3 linked regions of the Lonchura striata genome follow. The protein of the gene in region 3 interacts with the protein of the main gene of each other region in a biochemical or structural test. Links are inferred from orthologs where the notes say so. Each region holds a gene or a part of one and is shown on either strand. Other genes may lie near its edges.

The links.
Region 1: of the proteins of FGA (region 3) and FAM20C, one has a biochemical effect on the other in vitro, tested with the Homo sapiens proteins (2 studies listed by IntAct). The link is inferred for Lonchura striata from reciprocal best matches to the Homo sapiens genes FGA and FAM20C.
Region 2: the proteins of FGA (region 3) and PLAT form a complex in vitro, tested with the Homo sapiens proteins (2 studies listed by BioGRID). The link is inferred for Lonchura striata from reciprocal best matches to the Homo sapiens genes FGA and PLAT.

What each region holds. Positions count from the first base shown.
Region 1 is NC_134618.1:11,867,520-11,877,860, forward strand, and holds the start of FAM20C (extracellular serine/threonine protein kinase FAM20C), read left to right. Parts: upstream 1-6,139; 5' UTR 6,140-6,177; coding exon 6,178-6,701; intron 6,702-8,348; coding exon 8,349-8,524; intron 8,525-10,341. UniProt on the Homo sapiens protein: Golgi serine/threonine protein kinase that phosphorylates secretory pathway proteins within Ser-x-Glu/pSer motifs and plays a key role in biomineralization of bones and teeth.
Region 2 is NC_134634.1:4,929,375-4,939,891, reverse strand, and holds the start of PLAT (tissue-type plasminogen activator), read left to right. Parts: upstream 1-5,772; 5' UTR 5,773-5,905; intron 5,906-8,207; exon of another isoform or gene 8,208-8,442; intron 8,443-10,517. Other genes in the region: IKBKB (inhibitor of nuclear factor kappa-B kinase subunit beta), read right to left, coding at 1-24, 367-481, 740-934, 1,394-1,523, 1,816-1,923, 2,250-2,374, 2,733-2,822, 3,289-3,377 and 4 more. UniProt on the Homo sapiens protein: Converts the abundant, but inactive, zymogen plasminogen to plasmin by hydrolyzing a single Arg-Val bond in plasminogen.
Region 3 is NC_134606.1:42,247,017-42,257,615, reverse strand, and holds the start of FGA (fibrinogen alpha chain), read right to left. Parts: upstream 3,873-10,599; 5' UTR 3,805-3,872; coding exon 3,754-3,804; intron 1,964-3,753; coding exon 1,835-1,963; intron 927-1,834; coding exon 743-926; intron 467-742; coding exon 321-466; intron 1-320. Other genes in the region: FGG (fibrinogen gamma chain), read right to left, coding at 8,509-8,523, 8,893-9,062, 9,413-9,690, 10,301-10,485. UniProt on the Homo sapiens protein: Cleaved by the protease thrombin to yield monomers which, together with fibrinogen beta (FGB) and fibrinogen gamma (FGG), polymerize to form an insoluble fibrin matrix. Fibrin has a major function in hemostasis as one of the primary components of blood clots.

The sequences.
Region 1 (10,341 bases), on a different chromosome or scaffold from region 3:
CTCCACAGGCCCAACCCCATCACTCCAGCACAACAAGAATTTTGTTCTGGCAGGGCCAGGAAGCTCTTTGTTCCAAACAGGGGAAGAATTAAGCATTGTGGCCCAGATCCTCAGCTGATATAATTAGATGGCATTTCATTGAAACCAGGGCCAGCTGATACCAGCTGAGGAGCCAGCCCTTGCTCTGCAGCAGCAACAGCTGAGGAGTAACAAACAGGCAGGGAAAAAACCTCCTGTTAGAACAACCAGCTCAGTGCTTTCAGCAGGTTGATCCAGAAATCCCTGGGGGTTTAATTCATCCAGAATATTGTATCCCAAATTAAAGAATGGTAGCATTCATAAGCAAAAGGCTGGAGCTGGAAGCTTTGGCTTTCTGAAATCAGTTGAGGCTGGTGATGCATTTCACACAGAGCCCCCCTTGCCCTGATGATCTGACAGGACCAGTCTCTCCTTTCAGCTCTATTGAGCTCCAGCTTGCAGCTCAGTGCCCCTTCAGGCAACCTTGGCAAAGCCACCATGGGAAGGAGCAGGTGACTACACAGCCTCTGTGATTTGAGAGTGGAGGTTTGCTCAAGATTCATTAAAAAAAACCCAAAACAACCAAATATGTAACAAAACCCTGGTCCAGAAGGCAGGGAATCCAAAAGGGATTAGTATGCATTGTTGAAAAAATATCAACACACCACTTGAAATGTGTGTTGCTGATTCTTCATACACAGAAAAAGCTGACAGGGAAATCAAGCTTATGGAATCACCTCCCGTTCAGTACCAAGTGTATTCCTTAGCAATAAAAGTGATTTTGGCAGTGTGGGAGGTTAATATGCAGTACCCATCAGAGTGCCAGTGTAATCTGTGTTTATAAGGCAAAGCACCAATAAATTAGGTCAGCACATGAATCTTCTGAGGGAGGAAGGAGAGGGAGAGCAGGAAGACCTGGGCAGGAAGGCCACAGGGGCCAGGTAAGGCATGTGATGCCCCCAGGACTTGCAGCATCATAGACAGAGGCTCTCAGCTAAAAGAAAATCCATTTTGCCATTAGAAGTAACAATAAAAATATTACACTGATTCAAAGTGTGCAATCAGGCCTGACTTACAGCTTGCCCTGCTGCATTCAGGCTTTACATCAGAAGGCTGTAAACTGTTATAGCAGAAAATAATAGCTGGGTATGTTTACTCACCCAAAACCATGCTTCATTTATTTACCTGAATACACTATCACGTACACTGACCATTGTTGCTGCTCAGCCAGGTAGGCAGACAAAAATGGGGAAAATAAATATCTACACAGATTTCAGCAGCAGATAAGGTATTAATTCTTGCACAAAACAATGAAGAAATGCCAGGACATACGACAGTAAGCCCTCCTGAATTCTTGACTGTATTATTCAATAAAAGCAAAGGTAGAACATGCAAAGAAGTGCTGAATGCCAATTTGTAATACCAAATTAAGAAGCCTGTTAGATCCGAAGCAATCCTGGCTTGTGATTGCAGCAATTCAAAGTGAAATTCCCAATAACATTCAAGTACTTCAATAAAAGAGAGGAAAGATTTCAATTCAATGACCAAAAATAAAATAAAGAGTTGATGTAAATGACTTGATTTCATTTATATTATTGAAATGAGCTGTATGCAATGACTTATTGATGTAATAATATTCCATTAGGAACTTATTATTTTCTTGTTTACATAATGCCAGCAATTACAGGGGTAATACTGGTCCAACACACAGCACAGCAGAAATAGAAAGTTCTTTGCCACATATTGGAATTCCACATGAAGGTGTAGAGTTTAGTTAAGGAGAAATATTTAAATATTCCTTACTATGACCAAGTTAACTTGCAAAATTAAATAAACAGCTATCTTCTAACTAAGAGTTGGCCAGATCAGGCATGATTGCAAAGACCCTGTGGCTCTATGCACACGAGTTTGGTACTTAAAAGCCTGTTTGAACAATAATCAGCAGTCACCAAAAATTTTGGGGGTTTTATCAAGACTTGAAGGCAAATATTTGAAGCCAGAGGAGGTAACTTGCATGCAAACATTGCACTGGAAGGGAAGGGGCCAGGGCCTCACAGTACATGGACAGGAATGTAGGGCTGAGCTGGCTGGACAGAAATCCCCATTTCTTCCCTTGCAGCAGAAAAAGGGAACCCTTCCCTAGCAGGGCTGGATCACACAAGCCCCAGATCCCAGCACAAGCACAAACTCTCTGGCACCAAGCCCACACTTGCCATGGGCTAGCAATGAGGTTGTCCTGGGGAGCTGCACTAGCCCTGGAATACCTCAGACCTGGTCCCTGAGTCTGCCTGCCACCCGCCACCCAATTTCCAGGCTATCCTGACCTGCAGCCCAGCTCCTGGCTTCTCCCAGTGGTTTCACACACCAACAATCTGAGGCTTCCTCACAAGCCACCTGAGCCCTCCCAACGCAGCAGCTCCTTCCGTTCCCACCTCCCTGGCCAGAGCACCAGGCTCTCTGCCAGCCCCACGGGGCCACCAGCAGGAATGCCAGTGTGAGACTGGCAGCAATTTTGTGTTCCCAAACATGATTTAGGGAGGTGAGAGGGCACAGTGACTCCGGGACAAGAGCAGGGCTGTGTTCTTGCAGCTGCTCCTGGGAAAGGTGTGTAAGAAAAGAGGTGGGCTGACATCCTCCTGGTGGGATGGGCTGCAGGGGGAACCCACAGGGCTTTGGGGAGAGCCAGCTGAGCTCTGCCTTCATTCCCTTGGCTTCACCAATCTCAGCTTAGAGGCACAGAGGTGCTGTAACACACTGCTGGCGCTGATCATTACCAGCCTTCGGGCCAGGGGAAGAAAGGCTCAGGAAACAAGGAATTATGCATTTCCCATTGTCCAAAGCAAAGCTACAAGCTCACTCTGTGCCAGAGTCCACCAACTGGCCAGTGCATCTTACTTCACAGATGACCAACCAGTGGCCAAAGGCATTTGTAGATACTGAGGTTGAGAAATGCAGAGACATAAGACAGATCTCTTTTCATCTTTTATTCACATTTCTGAGGGCACTTTGGTCTGGCCAAAACTTGTCCACAAAGGCCAGTTACAGAAGAAAGTACAGTACATCTACCAATCTCACATCCTGAGATAAAATTCAAATGTTGAAAAGACTCAAGGAATAAACAGCTTGTAGAAAACAGGGAGATTCAGTTTACAGGCAGACACAATTTAGATGAAACCATATTTAACTAAATAGCCAACATACACTAAAGGTCACACTGATAAAAACAAAAACATGTCATCTAGAGGAATTAGTTTTTGTTCAGAGTATTGTCATTTTCACCTCTTGAAAGTCCTTTAATTAACTACATCTAGTTGCTTGCATTATATTACAAAGCCAGTCTCCCTTTCATTGTACAGCTCTTACACATGGAGTTACAACGTTTGACATAATGTTCTTTTACTGTAAAGTAAATTCAAACAACTTTAACTTAAAGAACTCATTTAAGTAATTTTCAACTTTCTCAGCAGACCTGTTCAGTTTCACCCTCATGTAACACCATAGGCCTAAGTTTTAGTAGGGCCAACACTAAGAAAATGCAGCTAAAATGTGCAACCTACAAATTGTACTGTTCCTTGCTAAAGGAGATAAAGTGTTATATTATCTATCCCCACTTGAAGTGCTACAAACAGCTCCGACCAGAACTCCTTAAAAAGCCACAGTAAAGTGTAATTTAAGTGATACACAGGGAACCACATACCCTGCACTCACCCCTGGCTGGCTTCTGCTGCCCTCCTCCATCAGCCACAAAGCCAGCTGTCCAGAAAGTCTTTGTCCAAGCTGATCTTGGTGAAAAAAAGTGGGAAAAGACAGAAAGCCTGGCTTCTGGCTCTGCAGCAAAATGTTTTTCTGTGACTAAGTGCACCTGTACTTGAAGGATCAGGGTGTATCTCTGGACCCTGGGACTACAAAGTCTCCCTACTCCCTAGGACAACAAATTTTGTCTCTCCACAAAGGTGCAGAGTAGTCCATAGGATCATGGCACTATTAGGTCTTCTTTTTTTTTTTTTTTTTTTTTTTTTTTTTTTTTTTTTTTTGTATATCAATGTTTTTTTCCTGCTGGAAAGTCAGTGATTTCCCTTGTGCAAAACCTGGTGACAATGTAACACTGCACAGATGTGCTTCAGAGGAGTGCAAAGCACTGGGATCTGCAGAAGTGCCAGTAAGGGAACAGTGCTGGATGGAGCCTGGTGGGTGAGGAAAGACTTTTTGAGTGGAGGAAATACTTTGATGTGGTTTAATGCAGGGAAAAATGGACTGCCATATTCAGAAGGGAGATGATTCTGTGGAAAGGTGGTGGTGGGTTGGGGTAAGCACTCCATCTTTCTCAGTCCTCCTACAGCCCAACTCAACAACCTACTATGGACCACAGAATCCAGGGAAACACTGTCCAAAGACAGACATCTGAGCTCCCCAGAAATCAGACATGATCACCTGAAGAACCAGGAACAGCTTGTTCCTCCCTCCAGAGTGCCCTCGCTCTTAGCTGCCAGCAGCACTCTCCGGGCTGTGCTAGCCCTATGGCCACTTCCATTAGCCCACTGGGCCACCAGCCAGGGAAGCGGGCAGCAGCTGCGGGGCTGGATCTCGGGTTAGACAGGCCGGCTGCTCCGGGGGAAGCGGGCTGAGCCTGCCGGGCGCGGGGCGAGCTCAGCGGGCGATGCGCGCTCGCCAGCCCGGGCGGTGCCGGAGCGGCAGCGCCGATCCCAGCCCGGCACCGCCGCCAGCGCAGATCCCTCTCTCCTCTGCCGCTTCGCTTTTTTTCCCCCTTTATATATATATATATTTTTTTTCCCCAAACCTTTGTGGAACAGACGCCCTCTCCTTGCCCCAGTTGGAGCTGCAGTAGAATGAAAAGAAGGGGGGGGCGGGGGTGGGAAGGAGGGAGGAGAGGAGGGAAAAAAACCCTCTTTTGGTTGAGGTTTTCCTGTTACTATCACTGTAGCGTTTATTTAGCCAATCTCCTAACTATGACGTGAGGAAGGCAGGAATCATGGCTCGCTCATAATATTTAACACACCCACTGAAAGCTGGAGCTGCAGAGCTACTAGTCCAACCAGTCTCCAGAATTCAGTGTAGCTGAAAGAGGTTTTCACTCTGCACCTGCCAAAGATCTCTCCCCCCTTTTCCTTCTCTCCCCCCTTCTCTCTTCCATTCTCGCTCTCTTTAAAAGAAAGATCTGTAAGACCCAGCAGAGATCAAAGACCTCTTCGCTAAAAAGAACCTCTACTGATTTATATTAGTTTCTTTCCTCTAATCCTTCCTTCTCCCCCCTCCTTTTTTTTTTTTTTTTCTGTACCATATTTAACCTTTATGTTGCAGTTGTGCCATCAGACAGTTTTGCAGCCAAAAAAAACCAACACAAGCCAAAGCACAAGCCCAGCTCGGATACAGCAGCCACCCAGACTCGATCTCAGTTGAACTTACTAATCTCTCCCAAGCACTGGACGTGATGGATGAAGAAACTGGAACTGCTCTAAGAAAATGATTTTCCAGCCAATGTTCTTAAAGAGTCTGAGAGAAGAGAGGGAGCAAGAGCGAGCGGGGAGCGCTTCTGCTGCATCACTGCTCAAATCCAAGGGAAAGGAGTCAGCGTTTCCAGCACAACCAAATATTATGGATGATTTTTTTTCTTCTGTCGCCTTTCCGTACAGGTTTTCTTAATATTTTTTATTTTCCCCTTCCTCCTCCCCATATTTTTTTTTTACATTTTATTTAATCAGCGCCTGTGTCTGATGCCGGTTTCTCTCCGAGAGCCAGTTTTCCCTGTTTGTCGTGATCCCTGTAATAAAAAGAGGGAGAAATCGTGAACAGATGGCTTTCTATATTACCATGCCGCTGGCATTGTTTTCCTGTTGATTTTAAAGGCTCGGTCCGGAGCTCTTTTTTTTTTTTTTTTAATTTTTTTTTTCCCTTTTATTTTTTTTTCCCTCTCCCCTCCCAAGTTCTTGATGATACTGAGACATGAGGACCTATCGGGTTTAGCCTGTTTATTTCCCGGCGCCTATGGAGGTAACTTTATTGACTTGATCGCTCGCTTGCCGACCCGAGAGGAGCACGCCGGAGTCCCGGGGGGGGCCCGGCAGCCCCGCGCCCGCCCGGGCTCTGTCCGCCGCCTCCCCTCCCTCCCCCTCCCCCGCTAATTCATCAGCCGCCCCGGCCATGAAAATGCTCCTGGTCCGCAAGTTCCGGGTGCTGATCCTGATGGTGTTCCTCGTCGCCTGCACCATGCACATCATGATCGACCTGCTGCCGCGCCTGGAGCGCCGCGGCCCCGAGGGCCGGCCGGGCTGCTCCTGCCCGCCGCCCGCCGCCGCGCCGCCCCGCGCCGCCGCGCCGCGCTGGCCCGGCAAGCACACGCTGCGGATCCTGCAGGACTTCAGCGCCGAGCCGGCCTCCAACCTCTCGTCGCAGTCGCGGGAGGCGGCGGAGCGGGCGGCGGGCGGCGGAGCGGGCGGCGGAGCGGGCGGCGGGGGCGCGGCGGCGGCGGCGGGGCGGGCGCGGCGCTTGATCGGCCCCGGGGCGCCGCGCCCGCCGCCCCCCGCCGGCAACGCCGCCCCGCTGGCCGCGCTCTTCCAGCACCCGCTGTACCGCGCCGCCCTGCCCCCGCTGGCCGACCGCGACCTCCTCTTCAATGTCAACAGCGACATCAGGTTCAACCCGCGGGCGGCCGAGCAGCCCGAGTGGTGAGTGGGACGGGGGGGTGGTGGGGATGTGGCGCGTCCCCCGGGTCGCTGCCCTTCGGAGGGGAACGAGGGCTTTGGGGTGGAAGGTTGAACGGAGCGTTTCGGGGTCACCGGGAAAAAGAGCAACCGTTCGCAGGCTCGCCCGGCCGTGTTCCTTCGGGAAATGAATGCCCCGAAATGCAGAATAAACACGGGAGTAGGGGAAGGCTGGAGCGCTGAGGCCAAGGGGTCGGTCTGCCCCATCTCCAGCTGCAGCCGAGGCTGATGCTGCCAGAACGGTGTGAGGAAGAGGGTGAGCTCACAGCGAGCCTTCCTCTCCAGCACCTTCCCAGAGCTGAAGGGGCTGAGCAGTGAGGCCAGACAGTAATACATTAACCCTTCTCAAAAGCAGGCTCTAGTGCCACAAAGGCATTCATCCTGGCAGGTATTTCCGCTTTCAGGATCTGATCTGTGCTACATTTTTCATCCTCAATTAATTCCCAGTGCCCTGCACCTCCGCTGCTCTCCAGCCTTCAAAGCAGTCAGTTGCCTCTGTGAATCGTATGCCCTGTTGGCTCCTAAGAAATGCTGAGAAATTCAATGACTGAAAAATCAAAAGGGTTGTCTAATACAACAGCACCCTCTTCCAAACACAGTGACATTGTAATGTTTAAACAGCTGCATTGTACCGTGCAAAAGCTCTGTCAAGCTGCAGAGCAGCCAGCATGATCTAAACCTTTAGAAAGAGAGGATAAATAATTCTGATTTCCACCCTATGAGCATGTGAATTGTCCAGGCCCGTTCCATCTAATAATCCTAACTGACTGTGAAGGGAAATAACCTGGAAAGTTTTGGGCTCTCTGAAAGAAGAAGGAAAAATAAAAAAAGTCACAAATGCCTGAACATCTGGAGATGACTGTAAACACAGAGAACTCTGGATCAAAGATATGGGTTAGTCTGTTCAGTAGGCGAAGAGTGAAATCAACACTGATATTCACAGTGCAGCTGCCTGTTGTACATATTTTCCTTAGTGGCTGCAGCCAAGGTTCACAGAACTAAAGTGAAATTCAGAAGGTAGTGATCATTTTAAATAATTCTTTGCTGTGGTAGGTTCCTACTGCTCGGGAAGGGGTACGACCAGCCAATTCCTCTGACTGCCACTTCAGAGTGATGCAGTTTCTCTCATTCTCCCTCTTTAAGGAGGAGGAGGGACTGGGCACCACAGCTCAGGTTCTGCTGCACTCTTGGTTTCCTGCCTCATGTCCCTGTTAAATAAAGGTTCAGGACAATGCTGTTATTTGAACCAGACTTGCAGAAGCTGTGTGCAGCATAATGGGACCTAAACACAAGTTAAAACTTGAGCTCTGTGTTTGTGCTATAGAAGGGCCTGTGCCAACGCTCAGTGATGCCCCTCTGAGTTTTGCTCCTGACTTTCATGGGTGATAAGTCAGGCAGGATGAGGGGAAGTGGGAATCCATCTCCCCCTGGCCCCAAGTGAGACAAGGCTCCTGGTGCAGGGAGGAACCTGGGACCTCTCTCCCTTCTGTAGCGCCTTGCCTCTCCAAGTTGTCACATTTTGAAGCCCTATTTCTTGATGTGTGCTACAAACTGTAACATTATTTCTTTCTCCTCAACTTTGGGTTTTTGTTGTATTGTTTTTGGTGGTAGGCAAAATGAAGATCATCATGAAGAATTTTTGCCAACTGGAGAAACCTCCATAGACTCCTACCCAAACTGGTTAAAATTCCACATTGGCATTAATCGGTATGAGCTGTATTCCAGGCATAATCCTGCAATTGAGGCTTTACTACAAGACCTTGTCTCCCAAAAGATAACCAGTGTTGGTATGTTTGGATATTTTTTTTTTTACCATTATTTGCTCTTTGTTCAGGATCTCACTGCTGTTTGAGTATTAATATTTTGCATGGCTTCTCTCCAGCATCCCTGCAACTTTGCTTTCCTACTTCCCTGCTCATTTTCCCTGCTAAACATAAAGAGATATTGCCAGCTCTGTATTACCTGAATAATTGCCAAGCCTCCCAGCAAGGCAAACCCCGTTCATGTCAGAGATCCTTTAGTCACAATCAGGCTGAAAGTGCCCTCTTCAGTTATTTAAAATAAATACTCTGACAAAAAAAAAAAAAGGATGGCAGAAAGCAGACAGCATCTTGCACGAGCTAGCTTTGTATCAGTGGCTGATTATTATTTCAAAGGCTGTGCCTGGCAGCCCTGCCTTGCCGAGGGAGGAGAGGCTGCCCTGCAGCCCTGCTGCGGCGGCAGCGCTGCGGCTGCAGGAGCTGCAGCTTCCCCAGGCATGGCAGGCAGCTGCGGGCAAGCCAGCCTCCTGCTGAGCACAGCTCTGCCTGTTCTGCCTGTAAATCCTCACCAGGGATGTGCCCATGTCAGCCTTTGGCTCTGGTTAAACAAGGTGACGCCGTGCGGGGCTTTTCTCCAGCCTTGTTTAATGGCAGCGTGTGTCTTCTTGAATTTAGCTGCGTAGCTGCACAGGGAAAGAAGTGGCACAACCTTAGATGAAAGCCCTGGGATACTAAACAAGTGCACACCCCGTGGTTTCCAAAGGTAGGGAGTTGCAGCACAGGCAGTGGTTTCCATCCACCGGGCAGAAAATGGAGTTACTTGTGCTGACCACAGAGTTGCAAAGTCCCTTTCAGAGGGATGAAATAGCAGGAGCTCTGTGAAAGTGCTGATGGTGTGTTGGCCCCGTGGGATGAGGTCAGCAGGTCTTTAACCCTGCAAGGCAGAAATTCCCCTGGCTTCAGCAGGAAATGGTCTGGGCAAGAATAGCTCAAGCAGCCCTAAGGTTTACATTTTCCATTGTGTGAATCACGGCGGAATAAAGGAGATCCTAGGTCATCAGGAGTGGGCTGATTTAGGTGGTTGGGATGGAGTAGGTGTAAAATGCAAGATGCCACAGGAGACCTTCAGCCCTGTGAATCTGGCTGTGTGTTGGCTGTGCTCAGTGCACTGCTCTGCTGGAGCAGCACTTTGAATAAAGCAGTTTGTGGTACCCAGGTGCCATCCCACATGTTGGATTCAAGGCTCCAGTGGACTTGTAGCTCAGGAAAGAGGACAAACATGGGTTTATTCATTAACCTGTGATGGGTTTTCTGACCCCAAAAGTCTGGACTGAGGTGACTCATTAAGGGGGGGTCATGTTTGCTAATCTAGCCCTGTGTTTTCCCTTCCCTAGCACAGAGGTGACACTGCAGGTAGCAGCAGACTGCCCATGCTCCTCTGGTGTGCACTGGAGGGTGACAAGGGCACTGTATGGACACAGCCTGGGAGATTTTGCCCCAGACACAGCCCTCACCTTTGCTGACCCCACCCCTCAATACCCACCAGTTTTTGGAATGTTAGTGGCACATGCAAATGGGGGTTGAGCCAGCACTTTGTAACACACGTGTGAAATTGCTCCTTGGGCACATGCACTGAGGAGGGACAGATGCAGTCTGTGGCCATCCCTGTCCCCACAGAGAGCAGCAGTGGCCAGGCTGTCCCCAGAGGGGCAGAGGTGACGCCCAACCAAGGTTTGCACAAAGTGCAGTGGCTGTAGCAGTTTGTACCACATGGCTGCTGAGTATTGATCTTTACTCACCTCCCCAGCAGTCCAGAGCTCAGCTGCACTGTCTGTGCAGGAGGA
Region 2 (10,517 bases), on a different chromosome or scaffold from region 3:
GGAGATTCTTCTTTGGATCCTGAACTGAAAACAGAGGAGGTGGGGAAAAGAGAAACATATGTATCAACATGAAGCCAGAAAGTTGTGTTATCACAAAACAGACCAAAACATTGCTCCTTTGAGGGGTATGTTACCACCTGTAAAGCCTAGAGCTGGATAACCCCTGTGCAATTCCCCCAATATACCAAAATCCAACACTTCCTTTTTTCAGTTATTCTGATAAATTGAATTAATAACAGTCTGTTTTACTGCTTCTTGATGTAAGAGCTCCCTCTACTCTTTGTACATGACACAGACTGCAGAACATGGACACTGCTCTCAATACAGACCGCCGCCCTTCACATTCATGTCAGAGAAAGTCCTTACGGATGCAGTCAACACTTTCTGGATGAGGACGCAAGGCCACCTGAGCCTCATAGGAAACTTTCTTGTTATCAAAGAGGAAGAGAAGGTCTGTGTCTGCAGCTGCAGTATCATTCACCTGCAGAAGACAAAAGACCCAACTAGGTTTTCTCAGGAAAAGCAAGCCTTGGTAACACTGTACAAAACAGCCCTCCTCAGCTAAACAAAGAACACCATAGGCAACAGGGTGCCTATGCACCTGCATAGGTACCTATGCTACAATGGTTGTCAGGTCTGTGAGGTTACCATGGCAAAAGCATGCAAGTCCTGTGATCCCAAAGTGAGAGAAGTGTCTTCTGATTCACTCAAAAGCAAGAAAAGGACTATCCAGACTCACCTTGCTATCAGCTATATGTTTAGTGACCAGCTTCTGAGAAAACAATGCAAGTCCTGCTTCCTGCAGTAGTTCCTGGTCCTGTTCTGGAATTCCTGTATCTGACTGAATCCTGGCCTTTACACTCTGCAAAGTCTCTTCCTCTGTCAAAGAGTAGGTGTGCACAGTTCCCGTAACCATGTTCAAAACATGAAGCAACTACAACAAGAGTAGCATGGCATGAGAAAGGCTGACGATACATTGGTCATCTTAGAGCAGAGATCAAGGGACTGGGACAATGACCACCAAAAAACTTCTCAAAGTACTTAGCAGACTCAAGAATTCACTCTGCAGCTACTTCCTAACATTATGGCAAAGTTCTTGTCCTCCATCAAGTGAGAGGCCACATGGCAATTAAATACCTTCACCTGTAGAATCCTCTATCAGAATATGGAACTAAGCATTCACGGAAGCTATTCACTACTCCTAATAAGCTCAGCGAGTATTTGTCCTCAAAGAAGCAAGAGAAAAGCACCTGTCACTAGCTGTCAGGAGACAGTTCTGCGAGTTTCTGCCTCACTCTTCCTCCTAAGTCTATGATTCAAGCCTTTCCTCTCACAGAATACAGGCAACTACTCTCCAGAAAACTTTTCGGGGTAATATGGACCTACTGCTTACCTTCAAGTTCAAAATGTCATCCAAAGCTTTGAAACACCCATTGGGTCCATACATAGGATCTGTACCTCTCTGACGTGGGTGCCACATTAACATGAGTTGCAGCCATTTCTCCAGCCTCCCAGACAAAACACTGAGCAATAAAAACCAGGAGGAGATCAGAAGAGGTAAAAGTGCATTTGCAATAACCATATGGCCTGTTCTGTGTGGGAGGACTAACAAAACTCCCCCCCACTTCTCTCTATCACAAATGTAGTGTTTTGAAGGCAGAAACCAAGACTATACAAGTCTGATAAGTGATAATAGTACTGCCTGTGTCATGCACTCAATTTATTCACAGATTAACACAGTAGAGCATATAACATAATCTTGGTCCTTTTGCAGAAGAATCAGTTTATCTCAGCACAGCAATTTCTAGTACTTACCTGTTCAGATTGTTTGGGCAGGGCAGACGGCTAGAAAACTTGACTTCTCCAGATAAGTCCTCTGAAACAACAATATCCAGCTCACTCTTCTGACGGACTTTTGTATGCCTAATGTAAGCAAGCACAATGGTGAAATAATTGCCTGCCTTTCCCATCCTGTAAATTAGTAGGCTCTTAAAGCTATTCTTGATAGACATAATACAGATGCCACTTTGGTTTCTGTTATCTGCCTTGCAGGAGTCAGCCCTTATCCCATAGAGCAAGTATCAGGAATGTTGAACTTGCTCAGGTGGGTCAAACTCCTGTGAAAGGGGTCAGTTTCCATAAGGGCAAGGAACATAGGGATATTATCCTCAGAATCAAGGGACACCATACTTCCTGTTTACAGGAAAGTCACATCATGCCCACTTATCACCCAGCCACAGTTCACTCACCATTGCACTGGCTGCCAGTTGGGTAGGAATGGTCGGAAGCCTGTAATGCACTCAAAGGCAAGCGTGCCAAAGCTCCAGTAATCCACTGTCACCGTATACTTCTGCTGTTCCAGCAGCTCTGGAGCCTGGTACAGTTTACACACATGAGAAAAAGCCACCCAGCTCTAAGCTTTCTCTATCCCTTAACATCTCATTAACATTTGTACAAATTATTAAAGACATTACTGAATGCTGCCTCTCACATGCTTTAATTCCCTCTAGGAGTGAGCAGTATTCCTGGTTACTGGCACTTCTGCTTATTCATAATAGAAGCAACTAGCAGAAAACCCAGTGTCAGCAAAAAACAGTCACCTTCACTTGCTTCAGCACCACAAACACACCCCATACCATGCAAGTACTTAATCCCAGCCCAAAACTTGATAACAATTAATTCTACCCCACTAGAAAGCAGTAGCTGCTCTTATACCTGAATTCCTTTCTTACCAAGTACTGCAGAGTCCCAACAAAGGATGTGCATAGGCTACCCTGATCCAACTCCTTAGCATAACCAAGGTCAATGATTTTGTGTATTAACTGAAACACACAACAGAGAATAAGAGTGCTAGACCGAAATCCTGTTAAAAGCACATCATACAGCAGAAAGAAAATGTTCAGCTCTTCAAAGCTATACAGGAAAGGTGCTAGTGAAGAGGCAGAAGTAGAAATGGGAGGCTACTGTAGATTCCTTAAGCCACAATGAATTTGAAGGTGTCATAGCACACTTAGCAGTTATGTGTCTAGTTCCTTCCAATCTTAGGTCAATCAGTACAGTGTGGCTCTCTCCTTAATAGCTGAAAGTCGAAATGTCAGGTGTTAACAGATGTCTAATACAATGTCTTAGCTGCACACAGAATACTATTCATCTGACATAGTGGCCTGAGACAGGTGTTATCCTGGGCTGAGTGCTCTTGCAGAGGGACCATGTAACTGCATGAAGCACATGCATGCTCCTTATAAGCTTACTTGTCTGTGCAGGCAGAGACAACTGCTTCCTGCTTACCCTTTGTTCTCCTTGCTGCAGCACAATGTTCTCTGGTTTCAAGTCTCTGTGGATGATCCTGTTCTCATGAAGGTATCTGAGAGCAGAAGCTGAGACACACATAAAGGAAATTTTAAGAGCATAAGTAACAGTACCTAGACAAGATCAGTAAGGACTCGGTTCTATTTATGGCTTTCACATCAAACCTTGTACAATGAAACATACCATGAAACACTAAGTGTAAGGTGTAAAGTTAGCATCATAGAACTCTGGACACAAACTGAGTTCTCTCTCTGAATGTTCCCCCACATTCTTCCTTTAAACTGTAGTAACACTGGCTAGCTTCCAGTAGGCAAGGACCTCCCCAGACTCCCAACACTTTTGGTAGATGATCAAGATCATAAAAGGTCAGTCTAAAACTGAGTCACTAAGGTCACTGCTGTATATTTGGAGAGTTGATTCAGGACTAAAAAGGTTTCTATAGCTCAGACAACTGAAGGCTACCACTTACCAATGTCAGATAACAAGATAAGAATAGCTTCTTCCCGCAAGCCACAGCAATTCTCCAGCTGGTTCAGGTACTGCAAGTAAGCAACACAAAATGCAGTCTTTCCTTCCTCTATCCTGAGTGAAGCCCACAGTCCCGCAAATTCTCAGGGATACAAGAAATTTCAGCAACAGCAATTAAATTCTCCAGAAGCACAAAATTCTATGGGGTGTGACCTGTGACAGCAGCAATTACAGCTTCATAATTAAATCAGCCTTAGCTTAATTGCATGGGAGAATAAAGGAGTAGGTGAAAAGTCACTGTCATCCCATTCTAATCCTTCTGTTTGTTCCATCCCTCTTTGCCATTTCCCCTGTGCCTGCCAATATCAACTCCAATATGAGGCCTAAAGTCTGTGTTTTAGCTATGGGCAGATTACAGCAAAGGTCAGAAAAGCCTTAGGATTAGAACTATCATGTGTTATTTCTTCCTACAACAGACAAGAGTTAATCACTTTAAGGAAGGGTACAGCCTACAGATGCACCTACCCTACAATGGTCTTGGCCATACTCATATTCTGTTGCACATCCCTTACACTTGCCCTCATTATTTATGTGCAAACTCCTCACAGTGTCACTTGCATCCAAAAAACCAAAAGAGTTTCACAAAGCACTTAAGTCTTCAAAAGCTGAACATAGTATCAAGGACCAATCCACCAACAACTGGTGATGCCATGATAGAATTAGGAAGCCTCAGGATGTGAAAGCAAAGGTTCTAAGAGAACAGAAAACCCAGGATAAGATTAGAAGCTGACCCATTCCTTGGTTACCACCCCAGGGACCTCACCTTGCGGAGGTCTCCCCCTTGGCAGTACTCCATGGCCAACAGTGGCAAGTCATTTGGTGCGAGCTTCTGCATCCCTTCAGGGACATCGCGGGCAGCCACCACATTGGGATGGTTCAGTCTGCGGAACAAAAATTAGGCAAGTAGGCATGATGTTCTGCAACTGCTATACAATTTCACATGCTCCTGGTCATCACCTAAAGTGATCACAAATCCTTTTAGAAATTAAATGAGTGAATTCTGAAGGTTTGCATATTTCACGGATCTAGCCTCATTCAAACTCCTAGCATTTCACGTGCAAGACAGTGTGTTTCTTCAACACACATGCATTACAGATCTGTCTAGAAGGTACAGCAACAACTCTTGCAAGGAGTGCAAGGCAGTCTGTTGCCACCGTCCAGAAAAGACCCAAACTGCAATCAGACCACTACACCCGAAAATGCTAATCCAACACCCCAAGGGACAGACGTTAAGGCAAGCAAAGCAGCGGCTAGGTAGCAGCGTTGTTGTAGCGCTGAGGGCACAGCAGACGAGCCGAAGACGGCAGTGTGAAACCCAAGAGTCTCACGCAGCACCGTATGAAGTTTTCTTACGCGTGAACTTCCACCCACCTGCCGCCGAGCGGACCGGGCACCTCCCGGAAGGGGATCCCTTGGCGGCCAGCGGCCGAAAGCCTCTCCCACCATTTCCCTCAGCGCACCCGTCAGATCCGCGCTCCAGGGCCGCCTCCGCCACGCGTCCCGGGGCACCGACGCGACACCGCGCAGCGACCCCTCCGCCCGGCCCGGCCCACGCGGGCACCGGCCTCGGCCCGAGAACACCGCCGCCCCGCCTCACCTCTTCATGATCTGTATTTCCAGCGCCCAGCGGTCGCGGTTGCGCGGGCTCAGCTCCTGCCGGCACTGCTTGATGGCCACCTGCTCGCCGGTTTCCTGTGGACATAGTAAGGGTGGGCTGAGACCGGGTCCGGAGCCGGGGCGCCGCGGGCCCGGCTACCGCCTACCTTGTTGTGCCAGCGGATGACGTTGCCGAAACCGCCGGTGCCGAGGCGCTCCCGCATCTCCCAGGGCCCGCAGGTCAGCGCCTGCAGCGCGGGCGGGCGGCTCATGGCGGGCCCGGCTCCGCTCCGCGGGACCTGCGCTTCCGGCTCCGGCGCCAGCGCCCGCCCTTCCAGGGGCCGCGCCGGGCCGGCGCTCGGCCCGCTCGGGGCCGCCCCGGCGAGGAACGGCGGAGTCGCGATCGCCGTGGCCGCGATACCGCGTGGAGTCAGGGGCTCGGGATGAGAGGCGAGAACAGCTCGTGGACTGTGTAAGTAAAATTAAAGAGTTGCCGTCTTCTGCCCGCAGCATCTCCAAGATCTGCCAATCCGGAACGCACCATTTGCTTTTCCCACCGCACCGCCCGAGCCAAAGCGCTATTCTGGCTTTACATCGGGTTTGGCTATTTCTTCCTTCTGGGCTGGCTGGCGTGAGTTGCTTTAATACCACTGCAAAGATGCACAACAGTACGGGGGTGGAAACTGCTCTCCAAGATCTGCCACAACTCCAGTCGCCTGCGCTGGACCTGCCAAAGCCACCGGCCAGAGAGGGTCCCGCCGAGGTGACATGGGCCTACTGTGGGATGTCATGCTGTCACACTTCGTCACTGCCATTAAATAGTCCTGCTGAAATTATCCCAAGGATCAACGTAGAGAAAATCCAGTAGGTGGTGCTTGAGAGAGCAGACACTTTATTGCTGGCTTTCCTAAAATATGTTAAGCCCTACAATGGCACCACAGTCTGTAGACAATTATAGTTGTCCTTAAGCTCTGAAAAGCCAGGAAGTAATTTCTGAAATCTTCCCCCATGGCCATCAGTTTGTTAGCATCCTTAATCTAGAAATCAAATGGCTAGTATCTTAAAAAATAAAATAAATTAGCCCCTGCTCTCTCAGCAGTGTTCAATCTCAACAACTGGAAGTCCCTTCCAGAAACAGTCAAATGCAGCTACACATCAGATTTATGGCAGTAATGTTATCACTAGCACTGTGACTCTTGGAGAAATAAATTTTATAATCTTGACATAGATCTCCACACAGATAGAGTACGGGTGTTTCATCTTTACCATTATGCAAAATAACCAGTGCTGTGTTTTCCAAACGAGGTCTCTATGCACCTGCTTCTTAAAATAGAAGTCACTCACTCCACATACTGGTTCTTACATCTTATACTAGATTCTGTCAGGAGCTTGATTGCTAGTGTATCAGTTCCAAGCAGGTACGACACATTCATCACTGTAACAATTGCAGCAATGACTGTTTTCATAACAGTGCCCTAAGTTAATCACATTTGTCTGCCACGCTTTGATAACTGAATACTCATGACCACATTCTGGTAAGTAGATCTTCATTTTCTAGGGTGAGTAATATCAGTGAACATTTAACTCTGGCCCTCAACATGCTGTTCCTTATTTGTATCTAAAGTTCTAAGAAGTTTTGCTCATTTAACTTGAAAACTCCCCTGTTTCTTCTCCTGTGGCTCTGTTCAGGGCATGCTTTGCTCCACAATTGGGTCAAGGCCTCTCTGCCTGTGGGAACTCAAAATGTCTCTCAAACATTTTTAGAGGTTCCAAGCCTTAGTCAGAGGCATTCTAGACCCTGGCAGACAGCTGAAAAACAGCTGTAACTTTGAGTTGGGGCCATGGGGTGAGTTGCCAGCTTTGGAGGTGGAACAAGCAGTCACAAAAGGTTAGATAGTATAGTAAAAGTAATTACAAAGTAGAGGGGAATTTTTTTTTAGTATTGTAAAGGGGGGTTTTAGCACATATACAGGGGGGTTTTCACTTTGTACATGGGGGTCAGAAGTTCTAAGATGGAGGAAAGTGGGCTGATCCTGTTCTTCCTCCTTCTTTTTCCTTGCCTCCATGTTCTTGGTCATGTTGGCAGTCACAGATTGGTTTACAGTAGAAAAGCACTTTGTAATATAGGTAGTAGGTATTGGGGGAAAACTATAAACATGTAATACGTAATATATCATATAAAAGATAGCAGCAGCCCTGGGCGGGGAGAGAGACGAAGAAGACAGCAGATAGAGAGGATGTCAGGGTGTGTGTGTGCCTCTACCCAGGCCGCTGATCAAATAGCCGCAGTCCAAGAACATAATCTGTTAGATAACTAGCAATAAACTGCCTTGAGACTGAACAGCTAAAGCCTGTGGAGTTTTTCTTTGGAAGCACGGGTTGGAGGAGGAATTTCACCACCATATGAGACCCCAGAGCAAGGCTGTGGTTCTCACATCTGCCAAACATTTTCATTAGGAACACAGCACACTACACTTGTGTGTGAAACAGGAGTTTCTTGTTATTAGGACTAAGTCTACATACAGCAGACTTCTGATTATATTATAAATAATACAGCTGTGCATTCATTCATACTCCTAGAAGTATAATGGGACAGGACAGTTCGTTGTAAGGGATACATACTATTTTGTCATTGAACAATAAGGTATTCAATGGGGAAGAGATTGTTTTGAGAACTAAATCTGCTCTCTGACTGGAAAAGAGAAAGAACAAAACAAACTGGCTGTAAAATCCAGCAGCATTCCAGCAAGTAGCTTTCCTCCCGTCCTGCACAGGGCTCCCTCCCCAACAATCCGGATGCCAGCCGCCTGCTTGGACCATCCCCTAGATGCTCGGGAAGGGGTGGGATGCGGACAGCACGCCCCATGGCCCAGCTCCATCAGCACGCTCCACCCCCTCAAGTGGTGCTACAAGTAGGACAGAGAGATCAGAGCAGAGACACAGGAAACACAAACCCAGACTGGTCTGGAAAGAAAATCATCAAGACTACAGAAGAGAAAAAGCAAAAAGGTAGGCACTACTCTGCACCTGTTTCAAAAAGGGCATTTCCTGTTTTCAACATCAATGGCATTGTCATTAAATACTATTAAATATTATTATTTAATAAATCCCAATTTAATAAATGAAGTACCATGATAGTTAACTAACTGAACTATTGCCTTCCTGCTTTTGAAATAATTCATAGCGTAGGTAAAGATGCTAACTTTCAGTTGTTTCAAGAAAGCTGAAGCTTTCCAGGGAAAGGGCTGACATGCCTTTTTGTTCACATTTGATAAGTGACAGCTCTTTTTTAGGTCTTATTCCACATAGGTAAGATAATGCTTACATTATTACTGCTTAGGCTGTTAGTAATAATAGGTTAATATGTGGGATTTTAAGTGTTCCTGTTGACGATGCTTCAGCAAAAAGAGACAAATTTAAGGTATAATATAGTGTTCTATCCTAATGTATTTGAAAGTGTAGAATCAAAATGTCAGAACATCACATCTAGGTCTTTGACTTATTGGTCTAGTATTTTTGAGAGGCCTACCAGATGCACACTGCTTGCCGGTTTCTGCTTGGAGCCTTGTAAGCATACTTTTCAAACAGTCAAATTATTTCAATTTGACGGCTTTTCATTCCAGTTGACTGGCCTAAGTTGTACCTTTCCCAAAACTGAAAATAAATGTATGGCAACATCTGTTACCAGTTTTCCATGCATAGTGGGACAGCAGCTATCAGTGGATGGACAGGAAGAGGTGGGGGAAATGCTGCAGCGCTATAAGCTAAGATAGCCTGAACAGGGGCAACAGAAATCAGTGGAAGACAGGATGTGACATCTAATGTAAAACCACTTTAGAGAGACTATCTACAGCATTTTGCAGTATAAACACTTGCTGTGTATGGCTAGAACCTACTTGTACAGATGAATATATGAGTTGAACTTGATTAAGCCATGCAGGTGCTTTTTTAAATAGAGACTCCTCATGTCAGTCTTCCAGGCAAAGAAAGTATTAAAAAGACATTTTTAAGTTTAAACTACCTGCTGGTTTCAGGTACGTAGGACTTCTTCCAAGATATCAGTTAGGCCAGCTGTCCTCCCAGACAAAAAAAAAAACCCAAAACAAACAAAAATACCCCTTATGTTGTCTTGTTTTGGGGCATCTTAGCAGGTACCTCAGAAATAAGGTCTCAACAGTTCTTTACTGTGCTTCCCAGGCAGGAATTCTAACAAGGCAGCTCAGCTGTGATCTAAGTAGTTTCACTGAACAAAGCTTTTCTTGAAAACAAACGCCTTAGCTACCAGAATTCTGTTTCTTGCAGTTGTAAGAACTTCAAGCCTTTTCCACAGATAACAACAAAGATCACCTGTGATACCAACAATTAGCAAGTTAAAACATTGCTACTGTGGGATTCAGAACACAAGCCTGCATAGATGTAATATGGAACCACAGCTGCACGGAGTAAGGATACTACGCAGGGTTATGGCAGAAACCAAGCAACTGGATGGCAGTTCAGATCATTCACTTTGACTTTGGGAATGCTACTGATTTAGTTCAGATTGAATTGAAGTTGAAATTGAATGCTGAAAGTCAATTAATTGAAAATCACTTGTACCATTTTTAAAAAGGCGTGCCATACAATGCAAAAAGTTTCCTAAGAGCTGAAAATAGCTTGAAAATATATAAAAACTGTACTGTGAAATCTACAGACCAATACAAATCACTGAGATATGTGCCAAATTTTAAGGATTTTATCATTAATATGTGACTCAAAGATAAAGCATTGGGTAATTAAGGTCCTTGGAGGATGTTCTTGGGAATCTTTTTAGTCTGACTCACAGCTTAAGTCCCATCTTTTTGCAGCCTGAGGATGAGAAATCACATCCTAAATTATCCTGCTGTATTCTTGATTCTGCTTCAGAAACTGGACTATTTGTGCCTTTTGCTTTGAACAAATTTTAAAACAGACAATGAAAGAAACCAAATGACAAAACTACTAAAAAACCACAGAGTCTTTCTCCATACTAGCCTTGAATCCCAATTTATGACTCATCTATCATACTTCAATTTCAGCAGCTGTTATCCAGCTGCCTTTTCTGGCTT
Region 3 (10,599 bases):
GATGGACAGAGCCCATCCCTTTTCTAACTACTCAGCAACTCCTTCCAGGAAAAGTGCTTCATATAGAAACAATTATCAGCAGATGGAGCATCCTTGTGGCCTAAGAGAGACGGGACTAGGAACTCACGGAACTCACGCTGGGTCCTACAGAGAAAACCAGGATGGATAGAAAGCAATTTGGGGATTTGTCTCAGCAAGTCAGGTCTTGTGAGAGTTGTAACATGTTTTCTCCCAGCTGGAGCACTGCTCACCATAATGGACCAATCCCCTTTCTGTAGCGAAGCCCTGGAAAGAATAGGAAGTGCATAGCAGACACCTACCTCTAAGCGCTTCATCTCCACCACTTGTTCCTGGATGCTGCTCTGCAGAGCTTTAATTCTGTTCACTTGAGTGACAACTCGCTGCTTTAATGTCATAATTCTCCGTCTCAGTTCTCCTGACAGGCGACCATAAGTCTCATCAAGCTCTGAAAAAAAATATCTCACAGTCAGCTATGCCCATGTGCTTTTCTTTGCTAAATATGTATCATATTTGAAAATATGTAATTAAACACATCATTGAGAACATATTTCTCATAGTACTGAGCAGATTAAATTAAGCTTTGATAACTAGTTAAGAGTCTATTAATATGATTGTTCTGATAATAATATCCAGTGCAGCCCCTACTTTCACTACGTATGGCTTATTTACAAAAAAATAGTAATTCAGTACTGGATAGTAAAACTGAGCACAAGATACTCACCCTGAGCACTGTCCAGGTTTGGTTTTAGTGCATTTACAGTTTCCACAATTATCTGATTGGACTTCTTATAGTTGTTTTGATTATCTGAAAGCAGTTTCTTGATTTTGTCTATTCTGTGACTAAACTCCTGGTCCTTTTCATCAATCAGTCCTTGCATTCTGCATCCTGATGGACATTTGGTACCCTAGAATTGAAAGATGGGAATAATTGTGCTAAAATCCTCAAGAATAAACATCATGTATAATGGAATCTGTGAAGCACATAATCAGAAACCTGACATAACCATGGGGTGTGGAACAAGTAAACCTATAGATTCCCCTCTCCTCTGTTCCTCATGGGTGAGATTTTTCTGTATATATGTATATTTCCTAAAGATCTGCTGTAAAAAGTCTGTCATCCAGTTTGAGGGAGGATGTTAGAGTCAAGTTTTTATGCCAAGTTTTCCTCAGAAAAGCTTAATGTTCTGACAGACTTAAGCTCTTTGCTAAGAAGTCATCAAATAAATGGAGCATAGAAAAGGACTGAGATGCAAGAGGCAAGAAAGAGAGAAATTAGTAGTTTATATGCAAAGACATCTAAGAAATTATTCTGAAACATTTACTGGGCATCTTGCAATCTGACTTCCTAAAAATTAACTAGTGAGTGTATGTGATTTCTAGCTACTTCTTTTCTTTTTGTCACCATTCTCTTTCTGGTGCCTTTCTTTTATGAACTCCAAAAGTGGGAATACCAAAATTCTGAAAAGAAACAATTCTTATGTTTTTCTAGGGTAAGCCTTTGTTTATTTAATCCTTTTTTTCCCAGACTTACTTTCTCTTCTCATTCTGCACCACTGCCAACTTCTCCCTGTTTCTTTTGTTTTCATTTTGCCCTTCCTTTGTTTCCCACGGGAGATGTGTGCAGGCTTCCCCGACCTGAAGTGTTACGTCAGCCCTAACCCCATGCTGGCCTGTAGCACCTGATGTAGTGATCCAGCTGATCCAGCTGTTGATCCAGCTGCTGATCCAGCTGCTGATCCAGCTGCTGATCCAGCTGAGGCCCGTGGGTGCCCCAGGGATGAGTCTCCCTTTCCCCCCAGTGTCAGTCGCTCACCCAGTCGTCATCCGCGCAGATGGGCCAGCTCTTCTCAGACTGGCAGCTGGACGGGGACTTGTGCTCCACAATCCTGGGACCACGGATTCCTGCACCTATCTGCTCAAAGGTGCTCTCTCCATCTTGTGCCTGCCAGGAGGAAAAAGGGAAGAAGTAAAACCAGGGCTCAGTGAACAGCTGTTGAGGGAGCAGAAACACAATGCTGATGTCCTCACACGCTCGGCTGGTGGGTGGCAATCACAGCCACCCAGTAAGCATCACACCCGACACTGCAAGGATTTCATTCCAACATTTCTTGTAAGATATGATATTAATAAGTTGTAAGTTATGATCTCTTGTAAGTTATGACATCTTGTAAGATATGATCTCTTAAAATTAATGCTTTTATGTAGTGAGCTAGTGATGCTCAGGATATATTTATGATAATATCATTCCACAGAAACAGTTTGTTCTGTGTGGAAATATAAAATTAACTTGAAATTAGCCTGAAACTGGAAAATTAAAATAAATACTTAAAAAATACTATTCCCATTAGCTGCAATACTGCAAAATTCTTATTGTCACTTTACCAAGTTCAGTCTACACAAAGGTAGCTTACAGATATATGAGTTTTTCCACTAGTGTTTCTGATTTTAATCACAATTGCTAACTGGAAGCTTGTAGCATGGTTTTGTCTGACGAAAAGTGCAAGAAAGCTACTAACACAATTTAAAAAACAATTTCAGTGATGAATTTATTTCACTGTGTTAGTGGAAAGAAGAAAAATAAATACGCTGAGGTTGTTTTCAAATCTGAGAAGAAAAAGTGATATACAAGCTAATTCCAGGCCGAAACACAATAAAGATTCCTTATCACTTAGTAAAAGCCATAACTTTTTTTTCCATTTTTGTTTTTCATTAAAGAAAGCTGTGTTTAAGATATAATTAGGTCTGACTGGAATCCTCTGTGCACCTTTTGTGCTTTTTAAACATTATAATGAATGCTTGAAAATATTAATGACTACTTCTTATTATGATTGGTGATTAATTCTGAAGCTGAGAAAGTGATCTTAATTCTAATCTCCAGGGTCAGAACTACTCTGAGGAACTGGAATGTTTTAATTAAAATCAGCAGATTCAAATTCAGTAGTTTGATTCATTCATTATTTGATTAATGGCCCAAGTGCCTCCTAAAAGTAGCACATATATCTAAAAATGTCCTTTAGGCATATGACTGCTTCTGTTTTGTCCCAACTTCTTCCTATAATTTCTGTCATTTGTTAAAACAAGCATTTTCTTTTTTTAAAAAAGTCACAAACTAAATTGTAAAGAATATAACATAAGATTATGGACTGAGTCCTCAATGGGAAAAAAATAAAAGTTATATTAGCACAGGTGAAAATCAATTTTATCTCCTTCCTTATCAATAATTTGATTCTTACTTAGTTGTAGTTTAAGCTGATGTTGCTGGTATAAGAATCCTTGTTTTTAAATGTGTCTTTCATAATAAAGGTATTGTGTGTCATTTGTAGGTAGAAGATCCTGCTGAAATAATGTCCAAAGGAAAGCACAATTCATCCCAATAAACATGAAAATTTCTGAATGGCTGGAGCCACTAGCATCCAGCTAGTTATGTTTAAGACTTAGAGCATCGCCAATGAATGTTTGAATTCATGTTAAGGGATTTGCTTTGCTGCTCCTGAAGCCTAGCAGATTCAGCAAAACCAAGTTAAGCAAAACTACAGAGGGCCGGATACTCCAAAAGTACTGATGAAACTTCATCAATGAAGTGGTTACAGTAAGCTGCTGCATATGTGTGTGCACTGAATTTTACAAGCTAGGTGATAGACAAAATTTATCTATCTCATGAATGAACATTAAATAAATGCTTACTATTCAAAATAGAAAGACACAAAAAGAATCAAGTAAGCAAATTCATACCCAGGCTATGCTGAGGCACAGGAGAGCACAGAGGATCCTCACAGGTACCATCTTCAGGAGAAGAGCAAGAACTCTGACTGAAAGGATGCTCTTTGCCACTCTTTTGGTGCAATTTAAACCTGAATGAAAAGCTGAGATTAATCATTATGTTCCCTTCTGTTTGTAGAAAAAACAAACATGCCCCCCTCCCCCTTTGGTGATTACTTAAGGCCTCTTGCACAAGTTTCTGGTGTTATTTGCTCCAGATAAGTTTGTTCAATGCTGACATGCGGGCAACACCAAGAATTCCAGGAAAAAAAAGTCTGTCTAAAACTATTTCTTGTAATTTGACAGTCAACCAAGATGTATGTCAGCACTAGTGGGATCCAGCAGTGCTTACCTGCTGGAAAACACATACTCAGTGTGATGGGCATTTAACTGCATAAACAAAGAGCTGATATTTGAAAAAGGAAGTCATTGCTTTGCCTGCATGTTGGTGTTGAACATAATATACTGAGGTCCATGGAGAATCTCTGTCTCAAATGGAAAAAAATTCAATTTTTGACTCTACAATAGACACAAAAGTCTAGTGAAAAATCACAAGCTTGTGATCTCCATGCTCAGGAGCACAAAAATTGCAGGTGCAACCTTTGTGGGTTCTCCTTGGACATACAGTCATGGACTGTGCTTTACCACAGGATCACATATGACATTTCTTCCACTGAACCCCTTTTGCCTCACACTGAGCATGGGGATGGTGCTTCACAGGCAAACATCTGCCCAGAGCTGTACACTCTTTTTCATTGTAAGATGATGCTCTGAAGACTGCTTAAAGCTTGAAGGATTTTCCTATGGTGCATTACATTCATTCCCTGGCCATAACTTTCTCCTTTTCACAGTTGTAGAAACCAGGTGAGAAGGTTAAGTCAAAAAGTAGCTATTAATTTTGGGATCCATTTTGATAATCTGAAGTCTTCAGAGCACACCCAATGTGCAGATCCCATTGCTGGCAGCTGCCTCTCTGTGCCAGCACCATGGCTCAGAGGGAAGAGCTGGCAGCCAGCTCTGAGACACATGAGCATCTTGCCTCTGGTCCCACAGGAACTGGGTGATCAGGGCAGGAATAGCACCAAATTCTGCAGGGTATCAGCTAAAAGTAAGGGACCACTGTGCCCCATCCGGTCCTGCTATCTGTGTTACAGTCTATGCAACAGCTAAAGCATCCACATTGCAGATGTGTATGTCATTTGGGTTCTAACTTTTCCCAGTTTGTTGATGCTTGATTTTGTGATCATAAATAATAATATTATATTTGTAATTTAATAGGCCTTAAAAAACAATAGTAGTAAGAGCACATAAACCAGAAGAATTTATGCCTTTTCAACCATGCTAACATAGGATGTAACAATTTGCTAGATAGTGTTCCAGGCACCAGTCACCAGGGTAACAGGGGACATGTCAAAGAGCATGTTCCAGACTTCTGACCTGAGGGATGGCACAGCACTCTGGTGACACTCAAACACAGTCAGCTTAACGCTGGTGCAAGTAAAACTTGGCCACCAAGGCTAGAGGGACTGGAAAGAAGTTGACATCTGATCATAAACATTAGGTAAGCTAAGAGGGGTTTCCTGCTTGGTGCAAAGGCAACTGCTGCGGGAAGCTGGGGTGAAGGAAGAGCTTCTCAGGCTTTACAGTCAGGGGCTGAGTCTGTGTGACTGACCTTCAGCCTGTACCTCTGCTTTCATGCTGCAATCATTCAGTCACTTCTGCCAGTGTTTGTTTGAAAGGCTGGAGGCCAAGAGCTAGATAAACTTTGGATTTAACTTTAATTCAGGATCAAAGGACAGAAGGGCAGTTCACTACTAAATCTGCCCTGCTCTTGGCTAAATGCCACAGTAACAGTTGGGGAGTCTGGGATTTAGAGGTGGTTTGTGTGCCTCACCTTGTTTGCCCAGCACTCTCTGTGTCTCCTGCCTTACCACCAGCTTCCACGTGGTGCCTTCTGCTCCTCCTGCCTGCCCATTCATGACCTGTCTATTGGTGCTTTGTCTTAGACTTCATTCTCCTTCAGACTCAGCTCTCATCTTCACTTTCTCTTCATATGCTCCTCAGACTACCTAACCCTTTTGAAGTCATTACTTGTCCGTCCCAGCACTTTGTCCCACATTTTCCCAATGCAACATCCCAGAAATTCTACATCCACTTTATTTGATTCTTTCTTCCTCTACCTCTTCCTCATTCACTTTTTTTCCCCCTTGCCCTTGGAGTGAGATTCCTCTGTTTTGTGCTACAGTGGTCTTTGGAAGAGTCACTGCAAGCTCAAGGTGTGAAACAAAGTCCACCAAATCCTTTAATAAACTTTTTATAAAGTGAGAGGTACAGACTTTTCTAAATACAGATAACTTTTACTATAGGCTACAGTCTGAGGGTCACGTATGATAAAAAATTATTTAGAAAAGAGAAATATGCTCAGCTCTCAGTATACAAAATTGGGGCAGTAAGTTCAATTGCAATGTACTTGCTTGCAAAAAATAATACTGAGAGTATTATTCTATTAGAAGAAACATGTCTTTTCTGTCTTCTTTCTGATAGATAGGGTATTGCATACCATAGCACAGAGCTTTCCAGAAGCACAGATTGACAGATTTCTTTCAGGGCCCAGAGAACACAACAGTGGATTGGGATCCTGCAGACTCCCTGATTAACTCTGGCATAGGATTTCTTTGGAAGATCAGGCTTCTTGCATTCACTGACTCTGACCCTTCTGACCACTGGAGCAAATGCTCCTCTCCAGAAATTAAAATTATTTGTGAAAACTTAAAGACACCCATCAGCAAACCAACTGGAAGAATAAACCAATCTTAGTTATTATGAGCAATCCATAAAATGCCAGTTCATATCCATGAAATGTGTGTAATTACAGCAGATTGCCATCAAATTGCAGCCAAAATCTAAACCAGGAATGTCAATAACAATTCTGATCTAGCAGAGTATAAATGCAGATATCAAAGTGACAGAAGTAAAAGGAATAATTTTTTAAATCCATGTTGCAAATATATAAATAACATCAACTTAAAGTCATGTCATAGGTGGCATAAATTGGAAAGAGAAAGTGGAAGGGACTCAACCAATGCTACTCAAGTGGCTGTTTGCAGAAGGAGTAGACTGGGCTTGCCAACCCTTCCCTTTCATCCTTCCCTCCAGCCTCTCTACACATACTGCTTCAGCTCCATGGAGGCACAGGAGAGGCCTTACAGCACAAAATGTTCAGGAAAGCTACTTTGCTTGGAGAAGAATTGAGTGTCAAGGCTGGCAGTGAGCTGTGCATCATGGCTGGTTGCATGGGTGAACAGAGTTGTGCAAATATATCAGTTCAGTGGTGTGGAGGGGTCATCTCTCAATCCATTGTTAACCTCATCTGACCCTAGCTAATGATGCCTTCTTCTCTCCTGAGAAATCTTGTCTTCCTCTTAGATTTTGGCCCAAGAGTAAAAATTCAACTATATCAAAATCTTAATAAAAATGAAAGGGACTTGGCAGCTTATTATCAGATCCAAGGAAGATGCTCAGCACCAGCCTCACCAGACATCTGGGCATCAAAACTGGAAAACTGTTGAGGCAGTACTAACTGACTGTGAGGTCTCTTCTATCACTGCAATGTCCTCCTGTCTCTAAAATAAAGCACTTGAATTTGCTGTTTAGAGAATACCAGGCAAACCTCTGGTCTTTCATAGGCAGCTAAAAATAAAGACTGGGACACACTTCCTATTTCACTTCTTAATGCATCAGCTTGAGGTAGTGATGGTTTCTGGCTCTGGATATATCATCTGTTGAGCAGTTTATCCACCAACCTAATTTGGTTTGCTAGCACACCCCTCAAATGCACTCATCAGATTTTGAGGAGGTACATTCAGACAACATTGCAAACTTTGCTGGCCATGATCTGTGATGCAGATTTGCTTATGTGAATCACATGGGGAATTATTATCAGATCCAGAGAAAGAAAGTAATGTGCAATCAATTTCTGATGCAAATTTTAACATTTTTTGGTTGAATGGCACTGAATATGTTGAAGTAATTTTTAAATATTTGTGAAAAAAAAGAAGAGTAGTTGGGAATAATAGCTGTACACTGTACGATTATGTGTCATATAGCAAATGAAACTTATTCCTTGTAAAATTTGAGAAACTTAATATGTATGGTCTGGAGTAAAATACCCGTTCTTGATCACTAATACTACTTAGCACATCCCAACTGAAAACGTATTCATTACTTTGTAGTAAGCTAAGTAAAATAGTCTTCAGCAGTAAAATAGGCTATTTCAAGTTGCTATGTATTTTGATCTTTGTCACCAAACAACTTTATTAGAAGACTTGAAAACATATGGATACTAGTCACATTTATGAAGAAATAGGTTGAACACATGCCTCTAAACAAAGAGCAGGAACTGATGGTGTGAAATTCATGAATGACTGAGTCAAGTAGGTTTGATCCAACTATCAAAGGTTTCGTTTTTTTTTTTTGGCCGGCTATAGACCACAGATAACAAACTCAGACTTTTTTTGTAATAATCAAAAATTTATTGAGAATGTGTACAGAAAAAAAACCAAAAAAACCAACCATCTACAGAGGTATGCACTGCTCAGGGAAGAGTTTTGGGCCTTACAGTCAATGTTGCTTTATAGTCAAAACTGAACCGTGTAATGTTTGCTAAGTTCAGTGTCTAAGAAAAAGATTTGCTTTTCTTGTTCCAACTGGTCTTTTTCAAACCATCCTTTATACGTCTCCAACCTAAAACAGAAAAAAAAAGAGTATTTTAATGTTCTTCTAATGAAAGAAGTATATAAGGCTATGATGACACATTGATAGTGTTCATACATAGTTGTATTAGTTGGGAATTAAAAATGAAGCATTTAAAATATACAAAGGCAAGGGATTATTCCTGATCATGAGACTATCCATTTACCTATCCATTAAAAGATATAGTAATGTAGAAGGTGCACTAAAATTAAAGTACTAATACTTCTGTGACAAAATGGTAAACAAAGCCAACTTCTCTAAGATGCAGTGGGTTTAACTTCAGCTGCCCATACACAGTGTTTAAAATTATTACAATGTTCTGTGTTCATTTTAAATATCTCCTTGGCCCTGTGGTCGAACCTGTTTGATATTGTCTAAGTTGTGCTGCTGTCCATCTACTGACAGTCTGTTGAATGGGATGATTTTCATTGCAGATTTCTTCATGGAGTACCACCGGTCACGCCAGGTTGCCCAGATAATGCCATTGTCAAATCCAGATGGACCAGCATCTTCTGATGTGTACACACCACCTAAGAAACACCAGTTGGAGCAAAACAGTTGGATGCTTTCTAAAATAGTTACTGTGCCCATACATTTTCTGGTCCTGACACCTCCATGGCATCCCTGGGTGTCCTAACAGACCCTGTTCATCACCTTTCTCCCCCTGCTTTGTTTCTCTCAAAAATAGGACTGATTATCCCACTTTGGAATGGAGAGCAGTCATAAATTCCAACTACTGGTGTTAGCAATTATTGCAAAGAATGCGCTATGCCAGCTTTGGGAAATCTAGAAGGCAAACTGTAGTCTATAAATGTGACTCATTTTCCTTTGTCACTGAAATGTGGTGTCCTGGACTACAAGCACTTAGAAGACACCTTACCTATATAATATTTGCCATTGAGGTGGCCAGCATGGCATCTATTCATCCACCACCCAGATCCATCTTGCTCAGCACAGTTGCCTTCGTAGTTGTCATTGTCATTATCATGGGTGCTGAACCTCATGCCATTGTGGTAGGTGTAGGATTTATCACTTGGGTCATCCCCAAAATTATATCCATCAAAGGCATCCCCGGCGTCACCCCCGATGAAGTAGGCGTAAGTCAGTCGATACTTGTCCTCTTCACTTCCCACTCGGAATACAGCGTAGTCAGCAGTGCTGTGAACAGAGAGCAGTGCTGAATATGAGCATGCTGCACAGCTCATGCACAAATGAGAAATGCATCAGTGTTAAAACTGCAGAAAAGGCATTTATTGCATCCTAGCACTTCAAAACTGTTTTTATGCGACTGTGGGCCTCAGCTCAGTGACACAGGTGTAATCAACTTTTGTGCTCCAGTACCAGAAATATTTTCTGACTAGTCTTTAGTGATGTGTGAAATATCCACATTATCAACACACACACATACATATATATAATAGAAATAGAAATAGAAAAGAAAATAATAGAACCAGACCTAAAATTATCATGTAGTCCATAAGATATGTAAGACAAAGAAACTTGAAGGAAAGAAACAGATTCCTTCTGCCTAATGAATGAATGCTGACAACATGTGGCCTTTGGACAGGCACACGTGCCTGGCAACAAGTCACACACAGTGACTGCTGTCACAGCTGTAAGTTCAGAAGCCAAAGCAGTTCCATGCACACATTAGCTGGTCTAAGAGTTCATTATTTTTTAGGTGAGACCTTTTATCAGTATGAACTAATGCAGCAGTGGGAGCAGTGGGTTTTAAGCTGTCATTTTCAGAAGCATCATAAGCAAATACCTTTTTTTGCCACTCCAGTCCTCCAGCTCTATTCGTAAGGTGTATGGCAGAGTGGACTGTGTAGTTATTAAATGCATCTTTTCATTGCCCAGCCAGAACTCAGTGGTGTCATCTGGAGACAGATGTCCAAATCCTTCCTTGTACTGAACCCAATTTTTACTGAAGTCTTCGCTCCCATCCAGTCTCTGGGGAAAAAATCCAAGAACACCAAAAACAAAAATAAAAATGTCAGTCAAAAAGGTAAATAAAAACAGTGTATTGTAGGTAAATAAAAACAGTGCTGATGCAAAAGGTTTGTT